2 linked regions of the Rhinolophus ferrumequinum genome follow. The protein of the gene in region 1 interacts with the protein of each later gene in a biochemical or structural test. Links are inferred from orthologs where the notes say so. Each region holds a gene or a part of one and is shown in the gene's direction. Other genes may lie near its edges.

Region 1 (7,451 bases):
TTGTTCCACGTGTAATGGGAAGACTTTGGAGGGGGTCGAGCAGGGGAGTGCCATGGTCTGACTTAACTTTAAAACCAACACTTGGTCTCTTATGAGAGCCATTTTGCCGTGGAGACCACCGCTCAGAGAGGTCAAGTGACATTTCTGTGGTCACACAGCTGGTCTCAGCCAATGCTCTGTCCAGCCCACCACCAACTCCCCACAAGTCCACATTGGCACCCTTTCCCACTGGGCTCCCCTTTAGATTTGGGGCCTCGCCCAATGCACTGAAGTGGGAGGTGTTACCTAGTTTTAGGGACTGCTGTGTCCACTCATGTCAGGGTGGGACCTTGCTTTTCTTGTTCCCCGAAATGTCAGCCTAGACGTAGTAGGTATTAATACAATTTATCGAATGAATGAATGAATGAATGAATGAATGAATATATAGGTGAATGACTAACCTCACTTAAAAGGGCTGTGGTGAGGTTCGCATGAGACAATGAATGGAAGCACCTTGGCAAGGGGCCCAATGCACAGTAAATGCCCAGTAAGTGTTGGCTGCTGGTATTTGTGTCACTATCTGTTCGATTTTAAAACCCATGCCTTATGTATCTCAGCTGAACAGCACCCACTAACCCCTCGTTTCTTGCCCTTTACAGGAGTCTGCAAAGTCAGTGTGAGTCAGGCCCTGTGCTGGGGCCACAGCAGTGCTGAGGGTACGCATGTCCAACACAGCATGGCACACGTACAGCCAGCCTCATCCATCGCCTACAGGCTACAAAGCCTGAGCAGGGCTGGGCGGTGACAAGGACAGGAGTGGACAGGTGGGGGGAACTCTCCTGCCACTCTGGTGCCCCGGGGGTGTTTCTCCTGATGGCCACTGGGTGGCAGCACATCCCCAGGAATATTGGATTGGGGGGGCAAGCTTTTCCAGATTGAACCTGAGGTTTGGGAACTGAGGGGCGGAATCTTGCAGGGGACCCAGGCCCAAGAGAGATTGGGGTCACACAGCTTTCAGTGGTAGGGTTAGGCCAGGTGAGAGGTCACCCGGCTGCCTGGGTAGACTCAAAAGCGGAGCAGGGGAGAAGGAGGAGGCGCAATCTTGGACAGAGAGGGTCTGAGGACTAGTCCTGGCTCAGCCTCCTGGAAGTGGGTGGATGTCCTCGCCCCCATTTCAACCCTTGCAATCCTACCCATCTTGAAGCAGGTGCTCAAACCTCCCCTCTGAGGCCCTTGTTGACCCCTCTCACCTGTGACTCTGGCAGAAATAACGGTTCTCCCCAAGTTTTCACTTGGACTTAGTGACCTCATCACCCCTGTCACTGCTCCTACTGTCTGTTTCAGTCCCCCTCACCCCACCACAGTGACTTCCTGAGCACAGGGACTGTTCCTTGTAACCTCCACTGCCCGCACCACCTGTGCCGTCTGCCTGTGTCACCTGCCTTGGGTACACCTTCCTCAGGACTCAGCTGAGAGGTCGCATCCTCCAGGAAGCCTTCCCAGGCCTTTGGCTCCTCCTAATGTGAGGACTTTGGAGCAAGGATTCTTGGCACCAGAGGCCTCACCCTCAGGAGGAACAGGCCCACCGGCTGCACAGACACTGTACATCCTGAGCCTCTGAGACAGCCGTCCGCTGCAGTTAGCAACGAAATGGCCCATGGAGCTTTGTGAAAATCCTCCTTCCCCAGAGATGGATCCAATAGGTTTGCGACAGAGCCCAGGAATCTGCACGTAAGACGCTTCCCAGATGAGTCTGATGCAGGCGCCTGAGCATCCAATGGCCCTTTAGGTGTGTCCTACGCCCAGCCCTCTGAAGCAGTCAGGCAAAATGATTACAGTGAGGAATGACAATAAAAACCTCTGACATCTGTGCCAAGTGAATCGCTCACAAAGCACTTTCAGACTCGCTTTTCTCTTTTAGTTCCGTCTTTATAACTCCTATCTTGGGAGGCATCATCCCCATTCTGCACATACCTGAGGCTCAGAGGAAAAGGGCAATTGGCCCAACATCCCCCAGCTACAAATTAGCAGAGCTCGGATTTGGTCTGGGGTCGTCCTGGGGTGGCAGAGCTGCAGGCTATGTTAAAACTCCTAGGTTGGAGGTTGCTGTTTGCTGAAAACTGAAATTCCAAAATTCAGGACCTATACTTGGTGATTCCAGCCCCATGGGGGAAGCTCAGGCCACTGCCATTGTCCAGGTTCAGGCCCTCATCATCTCGTTCCCTCTCTGCCCATCCATGTCCTCTCCTCCAGGGCTGAGGGACCGTCCCATCTCATATAAAGCCACAGCTATTTCTATGCACTTCATCCACAGCCAGGTATTGTGCTCCAGGTGTGTGCAAGATGCAGAGAATGGCAAGACCTGCCCCCAGGCGCTTCCTGTCCAGCTGGGGATACAAGAATTGATTACTTTGGTGATGGAACATGGTACTCCAACTTTCTTTCCCCTCAAATAAATTCATGGTCCCAACCTCACCCCCTTAATTGGCTGGAACAGGTTCCATGCTCTGTGAGCTGACCCAGGAGACCCCGCTCCACTGACAAACATAAAGTGGGTCATAATACTTCACTCTAACAGGCGTTACAAAGCAATCTGATTTTCTTTTTCTTGTCACAGTGACACTTATTGATGGATTCTTAGCGTCCTATGGAAGGTGTGAATGCCAGGGAGTATAAAGTCCGGATAGACAGGGAGAAGCAGTTCACAATTTGTCAAGATATGAGCCCTAGGTCCTAATTTTAAAGGAGAAAAAGCTTCCCCAGACAAAATACAAGCATGTAATAGTTAATGGCTCAAAGAAGCCAGGCAGGATTTCCCAAGGCAATACAAAAGTAATTTTCAAGTGAACAATCTAAATAACAACTATTTTAGGAGCTCAGAAAAAGGGGCAGCTTTGTGAGCTGGGATCGTCTGGTAAAACTCCCCAGAAGAGGTGGATTAGATAGAGCTGGGTAGGAAGAGAGAGAAGATAAAGCAAACAAGAGGGGTCTGGGCATCTTGCCCTCACCTGAGAAGAGGGTCCTGAGTAGGTTGGGGTCAAGAGGGCGGAGTGAATCTGTGCCATGTGAATTCTTTACAAAGCACTCGCACCTGTTTCTCCTTTTTATCTTGACCTTCACAAGTACCTGTGGAGAGGATCACTGTCCCCGGTTTACAGATACCCAAAGCTCAGAGTCATGCAGTGACTTGCCCAAGATCCCCCAGCTACAAAATGGCAATGTCCGGGCTTGAGCTAGAGCTATTGTGTGGTGGGAGAGCCACAGCCCATGTGAAAGTATCTGGGTCTGGAGGCTGCTGCTTTTTAAAACCGAAACTCTGGCCTGCAAACAGGGTTTGGAGGTTCCAGCCCTAGCTCTGCCTAGGGCCACCTGTGACACAAGGGGAAGCTGTTTCCCTGAGCCTCAGGGTCCTTACCTGCAGAGTGGAGCTGACAATACTTGTTCTCCTCTCACAGGGCTGCGGTGAACTTTAAAATCCCATGGAAGTGATCTGAACTGCAAAGCAGTTCAGGGTACGTGGGACAGTTTTTGTTATTGTGGCATTCTGAACATCTGCTGTGACTCAGATTAACTCCCTAAGGAGGAGGTGGTGGGGATCGCATTAGGCTATGGGATATGCAGATAATCATTTTTGTGATTCTCTCCTTCCTCCAAAGCCCCCGGGGCAGCTAGGGAAGGAAGCTGGACAGGCCTGGGCCCATGCTCCCTGGACAAGATCGATGCCAAGGCTGTGGCTCTGTGAGCACCAACCCCCTTTAGGGAACCCGCTTTGCACAGTAGCAGTGGCTGCAGAGGCTGGCAGGGAGACGAGATTCGAACTCCTGGGCCGTGAAGCACTGATGGCATTTCCTGGCCCTCAGTGAGACCCCAGAGGAGCTGCTCCTGAGGGCTAACAAAGGACATGGGTTGAGGAATCTTTCACCAAATACCAGAGAAAGCATCCCTACCTCAATACTCTTAGATTGCATATGGGGAAAGCAGGCATGTAAAGAGGAGGTAACTTGTCCAATGTGTCGTTAATAGCAGATCTGTGAACATAGGTATGCAGGTGTTAAAAGGGCACTGGATTAGGTGTCAGAGTCTCAAAGTCAAGATCTGGATCTTGTACCAACTGCAGGTGGCTCCGGACAGAATCCCTTTCCCTCTCTGGCACTTAGTTTCCTGGTCTGCAAAAATGGGGTTACGCTGGCTCCGACATGTCATTCTATTAATGGTAATACCCTAGGACAGAGTGCGGAAAATGTGGAAGGGTTTGTAGGCCATTGGACTTCGCCGGAAGTTTCCCCACCCAGGATGCTTCCGTTGCCACGGCAACCACCGGGCCAGTGGTCCTCAGCTTCCCGCTGAGGAATCTGGGAAGAACCTTGCCCTTATGAATATGGCGGCAGCCACAGGACAAGGGGTGGGGTTGAGCGCTGTCAGACTGTCCAGACCTTTCCTCTGTTTCCGCTTTCTCATGCTAACGGCGAGCTTCCGTCAATACTTGTTCTCTTTCCTGGTTCTGGGAGTCCCGGGAGCCAGGGAGGGAAGAGTTGCTTGCAGGGACTGGGGTAAATACCCGGGGGGGAAGGCGGGACTTCCGTGTCCGGCCGGAAGTGACGCGACAGTCACGGCCGCCGACAGGTGGAACGGCAGGTGGGTACAGGTGCCAGCCTGGCTGGGACGCGGCTGTGGACCGACGCTTCCGGTGAGCGACAGAGGCAGCCTCCAAGTGCCTGAAGACCCGGGGGAGAGATCTGGGATCTGAACCCAGCGCCCTGGCCTGGAGTCCCCCCCTATTCCTAGTAAGAATCACCTAGCCACTCGACAGGGATTACCCACGGTCCAGAGGGGAGTGGGAGGGTCTGGATCGCCAGGGTTGGGGTTGACATCTTGGCACTTGGGTTCCCTAAATCCTATGCTCCTTTCTCTCCCGGATCCAGCTCCCTATTCCCCTGCGGAACTGGGCAGTTAGCCAGCCCACTTCAACTCTCCGAACCATGTTTGCAGATTTGGATTATGATATCGAAGAGGATAAACTGTGAGTATTTTGTTCCCCCAAGTCCCAAAAGTGTAGGCGCCCCAAGTTCCCCAGACCCCAGGCTTGCCAGTTGCACCGACCCTTGTTTTTCAGCTGTGGATTAGGTCTTGTAGTGTAGCAGAACCGACCCTTCCCTTCCAGGAGCTCACCATCTGTAGGGGACTGTGGACACATCAACAGATAACTACAATTCAGGATCATAGGGCCTTAATGGAGAATCACCTGGCTACAAGGAGAGCAGAGCAGATGCAGCCTATGTAGGGATGTTCAGGGAAGGCTTCACCGAGGAGGTGGCAATTGAGCCAGGTTTCAAAGAATGAATAGAAACGTCGTAAACATACTGTCCTCCCCACTGTAGACGATTGGTGGGACACGTTTTCAAAAATTAAGTTAATCTCATTAGAATATATTCTCCTTCAGAGCAAGGACTGGGTCCAATGCCTTTTTGTGTTCTCAGCACTTTATAAGGTGCTTGACCGCAAGTAGGTTGTTAGCAAATGTTTGTGAGAAAGTGAATGAATTAGAATATTTACCACAAAACATAAGTAAGTGCTAATTTATAGTAAAAATTGAGAGGTGATTGAGTAGGGCAATTGAGAGATAGGTGTTGGATAGTTTAGCAGGAGAAGATTTCCCAGAGGAGGTGGACGTAACATTCCATATGTGCCTGAGAAGGTGACAAGGACAGAGTCTGACTTAAACCTCAGAGGTAGAATGAAGTAAAGGAAGGGGGACCTATTTTTACGGAGTGCTTGATATGGGCTGGGTTGTTGGTAAGTGCCTTCTAGGCACTTCTTACAATAACTTTGATGAAGTAGCCATTTTTTCCATATGATTTTATGGATGAGGAGACTGAGCTGCAAAGAAGTTGACTTACCCAAGTCCCGTAGTTGATTAATGGCAGAGCTGGGAGGAGGGCCCACGTCTGTGTGACTCCAAGAGCTGTGCACATTCCAGCACAAAATGCTGTCTCTCTGGCCAAATGAGAAAGAGAAAAGGCTGTGCAGCATTTGGAGCCTCTTGGGGTTTTAGAGGGCCCGTCCCCTTCCCAATCCTCGCCAGTCATCCTTCCTCCGGGGGACTCAGCCTCTTGTGCTTCTCTTTCCAGTGGAATCCCTACCGTGCCCGGGAAGGTGACCCTGCAGAAGGATGCTCAGAACCTGATTGGGATCAGTATTGGAGGAGGGGCCCAGTACTGTCCCTGCCTCTACATTGTCCAGGTATTGGGTGCTTTGGAGGTGGGGGTGAGGTCCTGGAGAGAGCAAGCCACCTCCCTACTTGGCCATGACACAAGAGCTCCTTTCTCTACTCTGCAGAGCTGGCTCCTTTTCATTCTTGAGGTCTGACCTCCTAAGAGAGGGCTTCCTGACCACCCCTTCTCAGTAGGGCTGCCCTGGTTTTTCTTTGTTATTCCAGTATTTTCTTTTTCTTCTCGGTCCTTATCACCACCTGTAATCATGGGTTTGCTCTTTAGTTGTTTTATATCTAGCTGCTTTTTCAGATTCTTTGTGCCTGGGGCAGGATCCCAGGTTGCTTTTTTATCAGTACCTAGTATAATGCCTGACATAGACTAGGACTTCAAGAAAAATATCTTTAATGAATCAACAAACCACCAGCTTTTGGTACTAGCACAAGTGAAGTGTAGTGGAAAAACTAAAAGACTGAAATAATATTGGCCTGAGTTCAAATGTAAGCTTCCCTGCTTATTAGCAAGTTACTTACCCCTCCCTGGGCCTCAGTTTCCTCACCTGGAAAGTGGGGATATAAAATATGTAGATATGAGCATCTTTGGGTTGTTATGAAGATTAACAAAATGACATGACACAATGCCCGGTACTTAATAAGCACTCGTTAAATAGTAGCTGCTACTACTTTTATGGCAGTTGTTCACTTTCCCAGATGAACTGCCGGTGGTAGTGAACAATTTTGTGGTCCCTTGTAGAGGAAGCTGCACTGGTGATATTCTGTCAGCTGGGACTCAGGAGTAGAGACAGGCAGTGACCTTTCTGTAGCCTTGGAAGGAAGCTTGCCACCTTGGACATCCGAGGTGTGACAATTAAGTTCGTGAACTTGTTGCAGTGACGTTACTAACCTTCTTTGATATCAGAGGGATTATTTATTATGAATTTGCACCAACTGGACAGTAACCAAGTTTACTATTTGGAAGTGGTGGAAAGCCTGTGTGAAAAAGTTAGACAACCTGAACTTTTCACCAACAATTCATGGCTCTTGCATCACAACAATGCACTAGCTCACACGGCACTGTCTGTGAGGGAGTTTTTAGCCAGTAAACAAATAACTGTATTGGAACACCCTCCCTACTCACCTGATCTGGCCCCCAGTGACTTCTTTCTTTACCCGAAGATAAAGGAAATATTGAAAAGAAGACATTTTGATGACATTTAGGACCTCAAGGGTAATACGACGACAGCTCTGAAGTCCATTCCAGAAA
Region 2 (6,850 bases), on another chromosome or scaffold:
AAATTACAAATTGGATTTAAACAGAGAGGGATTTGAAGTGGAGACATTATTGTCTTCAGAAGATAATGGACAAAGTAAAACAACAAAGAAAATAAGTAAAACTGAGATGATTATGGAAACACAATCCTAAGAATATAAATTAGGATTGAGCTCTTAACTTTATTTATTCATTTTCAGTAATTCCTTTATGAGGTCAGATTAATAACTACACAGACCCAAGCCTGTGAACACATTTTATAATGGACCATCTTTCTGCCTAAAACTAGATTCTCCTCCAATTAAATAGGACACTACAAAAATGACTGGCCGAGTTTTAGATTAACCACTTTTACACAAACGCTTTCCATTCACATAATCTCAAAAAAAACCCCACAAATACTGTGTCCCTATTATACACTGTGACTAAAAATATAAAGATGAATTAGATAACATATGTGCTGGATGTTTGTAGGTTTTGCAAGCTCAGTATCAATTTCCCATTTATCTGGTAACAGATCACCCTTTCTATTTAGTTCAGGTGGTGCTAGTGCCTGGCTTTGACCTTCCTCAGCCAGTCTATGGCAACAACCCCAGTTATTGCTCCAGGAATGAACATTTGACTCAGGAAGAACCAATGAATACCTTCCTTTAGAGGTGATCAAGAGTGTTCAAGTTAGAGCATTTCAATCTTATGCAATTTCCGTAAAACAGAATAATTTCTAAATGTACTAATTATAATTTACACTCTAGAAACTGCATACCGTGACAGAGGACAGCAATTTATCTGCCATCATTTCTGCTCCGCCACTTTACATTTCAGTCACTGTCAGATAAAGGCAGTGGGGAATGGCAACACCAGTTCTGATTCATTCAACACATGAGTGCCCCTTAGGTACAAAACATCATTCTAAACATTGTCCGGAAGAAATGATAAATAATACCCAGCCCTTACCCTCAAGGATCTTACAACTTGGCAGGGGAAATAAGACATGCGCACAGATGACTGCAATGAAAAGAAGATAATGATTGCTGCCAGATGTTTAGGGAGAATGAGCAGAGCAAAGGGAGAACACAGAATAAGGCAATATTCGATAGTCAGCCAAGACATATTTATTGAGCAATCACCAGGTATGAAATAGAAATGGAAGAGTAGAACATGGATCCAGACATGAACAGGAAAAAAATCAAATGACAATACTTGAGACCCATCTCTCCAAATATTTTTTTGTCACCAAGTTCCTAATAAATAGTCTTAAATTTAAAACTTAGGATATAGTCTCTGTCAAACACAGCCTGAGGCACCAATGCCTAAATATTAGGATCATAGAATTTTGTTCCCAAGCATGCCTTTCTGTTGCTTTGTTTGCTGCTTTTTCTCTTTCCAAATTAGCCGATGCTACCTTAACAAGTTGTCTATTTCAGCTGTTCTGCCCTTTTTGATCTGGTGTATTAGAACAAGTTAATTAAAAGAGGATCTTTTTGTCTTCAAACAAAAGAAAGAAAATACTATATAACTGAAAAAACCCAGAGGCAATCTTTCAGGCGAGCAGGAATCCAGGAGTTCAAATGTTGTAATCAGGCCCCACCTATCTCTATCCCCATTCTCTCTTCCTCTTCCTTCTCCCTCTCTTGTATCTTTTATCATGGGAAACATCTCCTTGTTTATGTGGAAACTCCTGGCACACAGGCTTGTTCTCCTCACAGCCCAAGGACTGGCAGGAAGGAGCGGGCCATCACAGTGTAATGCAAGGTGAGCACATACGTAGTAGGGCATCGCATGTAAGAGCCACTGATAATCACATTGTGTGCAACAGTAGATTAGTATATTAACTGCAGCGCCGTTTTCTAGAAGATGGCAGTACATGTTATGTTCTTACAAATTAGAATTAGAATAGTATAACATTTTCCAAATGATATAAAGCGTTTGAGGATGGCGAGGGTAGAGGGGGCTTTTTTCTCTAACTCATGCACAGATTGTCTGTTGGCTACTGGTAACCCTGGGTGACGACCCTGGTTACTGCAGCGAAGTCCAGGGATTGGCCCTCGATGGCTCTCATTGGGTTCCATCCCAATCCTTGAACATATCGTCACATAGTAGCTAGAAGGACCCCATGCTTCAAGTAGCCAAGGCTGAATGATGAGAAGTGGCATCTGTTTTTCTCAAACCTTAAATTTTGAAATGTGGAGGAAGGGCACATCCAAAAATAAATTAATGGACTGGACTGTCCTTAGAAGAAAGAGGACTAGATGGTGGGCAAGGAAATATAAAAAATGTCCTGTATACCAGGACACATTTGTGATGTTCTTTGAATAGCAAACAACTGGTCTGCTACACATTCAGCAACAGAGCATATTGGCCTAAAAAGAGCACCATGGCCAAAGGGATATGGCCTATTTTAACAGAGGAGTTGAGAGTTAAAAGATAATTTGGAGAGCATCCAATTCAATCTCATCATTTTACAGATGGGGAATCTAAAACCCAGACAGGGAAATAGAAATGCCAAGGATACACAGCTACTTGGTGGTAAAGACAAGCAACTACTTATCTTGTGCTTTTTGTTGTGTGTGTGTTTGCATGTGTATATGTGTACAAGGACTTTTTTTTGGGGGGGGTACATTAGTAAGAACAACAAAAAGTAGAGTCTTGTTTCTGGTTTTCTCTCACCCTCAAGTCCTTGCACTAGAGTTTTGCTGCACTCCAAAGGAAAGCGTCAGGAAGAGCAGAGTTAACCTCCGAGTCCACTCGGGCCCCCAAGGACAAAGACATCACCTTTCCTAGGGTCACCTGTTGCTTTAATGGACCAAGTTCACGCTCGGCCTGCAGGAGATGACACTTTTGAAAAACAGCTTCCTAATTGCACTGCAACCTACTCTGGTTATCCTGATTTTGCCCCCCAATCTCCAGCCAAAGAAAAGGGAGAAAGGCATTCTGAATCATTGAAGACACTTCTGTCTGCCCTTCTTTCTTCCTCCTACTATCACCTCTTTCCTGCTGTTTCCTGCCCTGGAAAACCTGTCATCAGCCCAGAGGCATCTCTGGAAATGGGTAGGAGGGCGCCTTACACCTGTCAGTGCCAGAGGAGAAAGTGCTCTGCAGAGGTCTCAGTTGTTCCATCTCTTGAGAGGAAAGAAAGAAAAGGGTCAAGTGCAGGCTTTCCATCACAGATTAGCTGGCGATGGCAGTGACTTCGTTCATCTGGCTCTGGCCCCAGTAACTGCCGAAGACCAAGAATGTACTCCCATTCCTAACGTTTCTTGTTTGGGTGTTTCCTTACGGGGTAGCCCAGTGCCTGGCCCTGGAGAAGTCTCTGGGCAAAGGTTCTTTAAGTCATGGGTCCGGCTCCTCTGTGTATGTTCTTTTTCTTAGGAAAAGCTGGCACTGGCGGGTCGGCAGTACAGACTGGGGTCTTCCCACTCCTCTCCATCACGGCCTTTTCACCTTGCGACTCCCTGGCGTCCTCCCGGAGCTGAGAGTCTGGACTCTGGACCTCAGGGTTGGGAGCGGTCAGAACCAGACATTCTCGCCCCATCCCGGGGCTGATACCACCGGTGCCTGGGATGTGCGTACGGGTGCAGGCGGGCGAGCAAGAGGCTTCTACAGTGAGATGGGGACAAGAGCTCAGCCCTCGCCTGCGACCTGCAATCCCTAGATTCCCTGGGGACCGAGAAACTCCCTCTCCGAGGCACTCCCCACCGCTGCCAGCCGCCCACCCTTGCCCCCCCCTTACCTCAGCACGCAGCCCCTCCCTGCGTGATGATGCAAACCAGTGGGGAGGGCGGGCGCTGCAAAGGGTGGGGAGAGACTGAGAGCCAGCGAGGGAGGGAGGGAGTGGGAGGAGGCGGAGGAGAGGGAGCCGAAAGACCATTTAAAGCGATAGCAATCCGAGCCCTCTCCCCAGTGCTGGGCTGTTGAAGAGTGCGAGCCGCGAGCCGGGGAGCGCGAGCGCGGCGCGCGGGCCGGGAACCCGAGAGCGCTCGGAGCCCCAAGCTGGCAGGCGCCGCGGGACCCCCCTTCCTCTCCGGCCGCCCGTTCCCGGGCGCCCCCACCCTCCGTGCCTGCAGGAGTTTTGGGTCTTCCCGGGAAGAGCTCACCCCAAGAAGCCCGGACCCCGGCGAGCCCGCCACGGTCTCCTTCAGCGCCGCCGCCGCCACCGCAGCAGCCGGAGCAGCATGGTCCAGCTGGGGAAGCTGCTCCGCGTCCTGACTTTGATGAAGTTCCCCTGCTGCGTGCTGGAGGTGCTCCTGTGCGCTCTGGCGGCGGCGGCACGCGGCCAGGAGATGTACGCCCCACACTCTATCCGGATCGAGGGGGACGTCACCCTCGGGGGGCTGTTCCCTGTGCACGCCAAGGGTCCCAGCGGAGTGCCCTGCGGCGACATCAAGAGAGAGAACGGGATCCACAGGCTGGAAGCGATGCTCTACGCCCTGGACCAGATCAACAGCGATCCCAACCTGCTGCCCAACGTGACGCTAGGCGCGCGGATCCTGGACACTTGTTCCAGGGACACTTACGCGCTCGAACAGTCGCTCACTTTCGTCCAGGCGCTCATCCAGAAGGACACCTCCGATGTGCGCTGCACCAACGGGGAGCCTCCGGTCTTTGTCAAGCCGGAGAAAGTAGTTGGAGTGATTGGGGCTTCGGGGAGTTCGGTCTCCATCATGGTAGCCAACATCCTGAGGCTCTTCCAGGTAGGGGGGCGCTCCCTCCGGGGCAGAGCGGGACGTAGCTCCCTGCGCTCTCAATCCTAAAAGCTGGTTTGGACTCCAGGGATGAGGGGTCAGGTTCGCCTTCGTGCATTTACACCCTGGAGATCCTGCCGAATCCCTCCCACCCCACCCGAGGAGGTACCTTCCCTGCTTGGTTCACTTCCCTTCCATCTCTCCCCTGTGCGCGCTCCACTCCATCAGGCTTGACTTCCTGGATTTATGGCCCCATTTATAAGAAGCAATATGCGAAAAACAAGGCGATGATTTAAATGGGTTTGCATTAGGGTGAAATATGGTCCGAAAACAGGCTTGTAAAAGTGCCGGGTGAGAGCCGTTTAGGCGCATGGAATATGAAGGATGAGAAGACGCCTGGAACCTGGGCATTTCTCAACTCCCCAGCTCCCCAGCCCCAAGCCTACCAGCAAGCCTCAGCTTCCTTGGAAAAATTGAAGAGCTTAGGGAGGCACTTCTTAAACCCGGGACTAGGTCTTCACCTACAATAAGGAGGTTAACTGCCCATCTCTGTCGGGTTGGATTTCCTGACCTGTAGCCTGTCTCTGCGAGGGCAGGGGCGGAAGGCACGGGGACGTTCCGCAAGTGGGGGAGATGCCACCCGCAGATATGACCCCCTGGGGATCTGCTGTGGGCAAATGTTTGCACCGTCTAAATTGCATTTGCAGTCCCGCCACTGGCAGGAGGAGCTGGGCGATCAGCTTTCTACTCCTGTCACTTCAGAGCCAGAGATGAGCTCATGCTAACTGCGAAACAAAATCGCTTTCGCTGCCTCCTCCCTCCGCCCGTCTTTTCCCACGACCTCCCTGACGCAGCCCCCAACCCCAATCCTGGGCCCCTAGGACGATTCCCGAGCCATGCAAAAGGGCTTCTGGAGCGAGGCAGTGGGGTGCGCTGAGCAAGGCCTGGCGGTGCTGCTCCGGGCGCCGGAGGGCGACGGCGAAACGGGAGGAAGGCGGATCCGGGCAGCTGAGCGGTGGGCTCCACCGCAGTGCTCTCCCGCCGCCGCTCCGCAGCCTCCGTCCCGTAGCTCCGGTGCTGCAGTGGGTATAAATGGATAGCTTTGGGGTTAAGAAATTGAGTTTCAGGGTCTGCGTGACTGTGGGTTGGTTCCCGTCTTGTTTCTCCGTGTGCCTCCCTGTGTGTCTTTCTCTGTCTCCCTGCCTTTTTCCCCCTTTCAATTTTTGCCTTTCTTCTCCCTCTCTACCCCCACCGCCAAGTGTTTTGTTCGTCTCCGTCTGGAGACGATCCTTTCCTAATGCACAGGTCTCTCCATGGGTAATACCCATGCCCAGTTAATCTCTTCTCCAGATGTTTGGGCTGACTGGTGCCCTTATGCTCCCCATAGCCAAAGAATCAGGCACCCCATCAAGTGCTTTTCCCAAGGGTGCTGGGTTTCTGGAGGGGACTCCTTGTGAGAATCAAGCTGTCATCACATCAGCTCCCAGGAGTGTGAAGTTTGTTTTGCGTCAGAAGGTGGGGTGCCCTCCAAGGCTGCAGCCTGGTATGGCCTCTCTGAGCCTCCCGAACACCTCCTAAGTATGCCATCATGGAGACCCTGGGGGTTGGCAAACCCAAAAGTGCTTTGGGGACAGCTTTCACTCTGAGTTGACGCTTTCAGGAGGAGCCTGGGTTGTTGTAAGCAAAACCCCAACACTTCCTTCATCTCTGAGCTTAAAGCTAGACAAGTCAGGAGGCAGTGCTGCAGGAGAGGATGAGGTCAGAGATCACCTGAGATGACTGGGGCAGTCCACAGGGTGTCCTGAGCCCTGGGAGTTGAAGGTGTGTTTGGTTTAGCATTTTTATATTATTTTGCTGCCTGATTCTGCTTTCACTCAGAGCATGGCAGTACTGCAGATGGGGCTGTATGAAATAAGAGTGAAATGTTGAAGGAGAGAGAGAGAGAGAGAGAGAGAGAGAGAGAGAGAGAGAGAGAGAGATTGCAGACTAGGTTGGTGTTTGCTGAAAAGGATTCCAGGGGGAGCTGATTCCGCTTCTGGTGTGTGAACCTGAGAGCACCTGTGGGGATAGAAACAGCTTGCTTTACACTTAGTTCCCTCATTCCCTGGGCTGGGAAGGAAAGGAACCCAGTGTTAGCCAGTGTTAACAGTGTGGGTTGGGACCAAAACCATTCAGAGAAAGCACTGTCATT

What was found.
Region 2: the proteins of PICK1 (region 1) and GRM7 form a complex in vitro, tested with the Homo sapiens proteins (2 studies listed by BioGRID, with this or other methods). The link is inferred for Rhinolophus ferrumequinum from reciprocal best matches to the Homo sapiens genes PICK1 and GRM7.

Annotation. Positions count from the first base shown.
Region 1 is NC_046293.1:8,946,433-8,953,883, reverse strand, and holds the start of PICK1 (PRKCA-binding protein), read left to right. Parts: upstream 1-4,443; 5' UTR 4,444-4,666; exon of another isoform or gene 4,667-4,763; intron 4,764-4,901; 5' UTR 4,902-4,958; coding exon 4,959-4,999; intron 5,000-6,107; coding exon 6,108-6,219; intron 6,220-7,451. UniProt on the Homo sapiens protein: Probable adapter protein that bind to and organize the subcellular localization of a variety of membrane proteins containing some PDZ recognition sequence.
Region 2 is NC_046300.1:46,598,352-46,605,201, reverse strand, and holds the start of GRM7 (metabotropic glutamate receptor 7), read left to right. Parts: upstream 1-3,831; 5' UTR 3,832-4,149; coding exon 4,150-4,668; intron 4,669-6,850. UniProt on the Homo sapiens protein: G-protein coupled receptor activated by glutamate that regulates axon outgrowth through the MAPK-cAMP-PKA signaling pathway during neuronal development.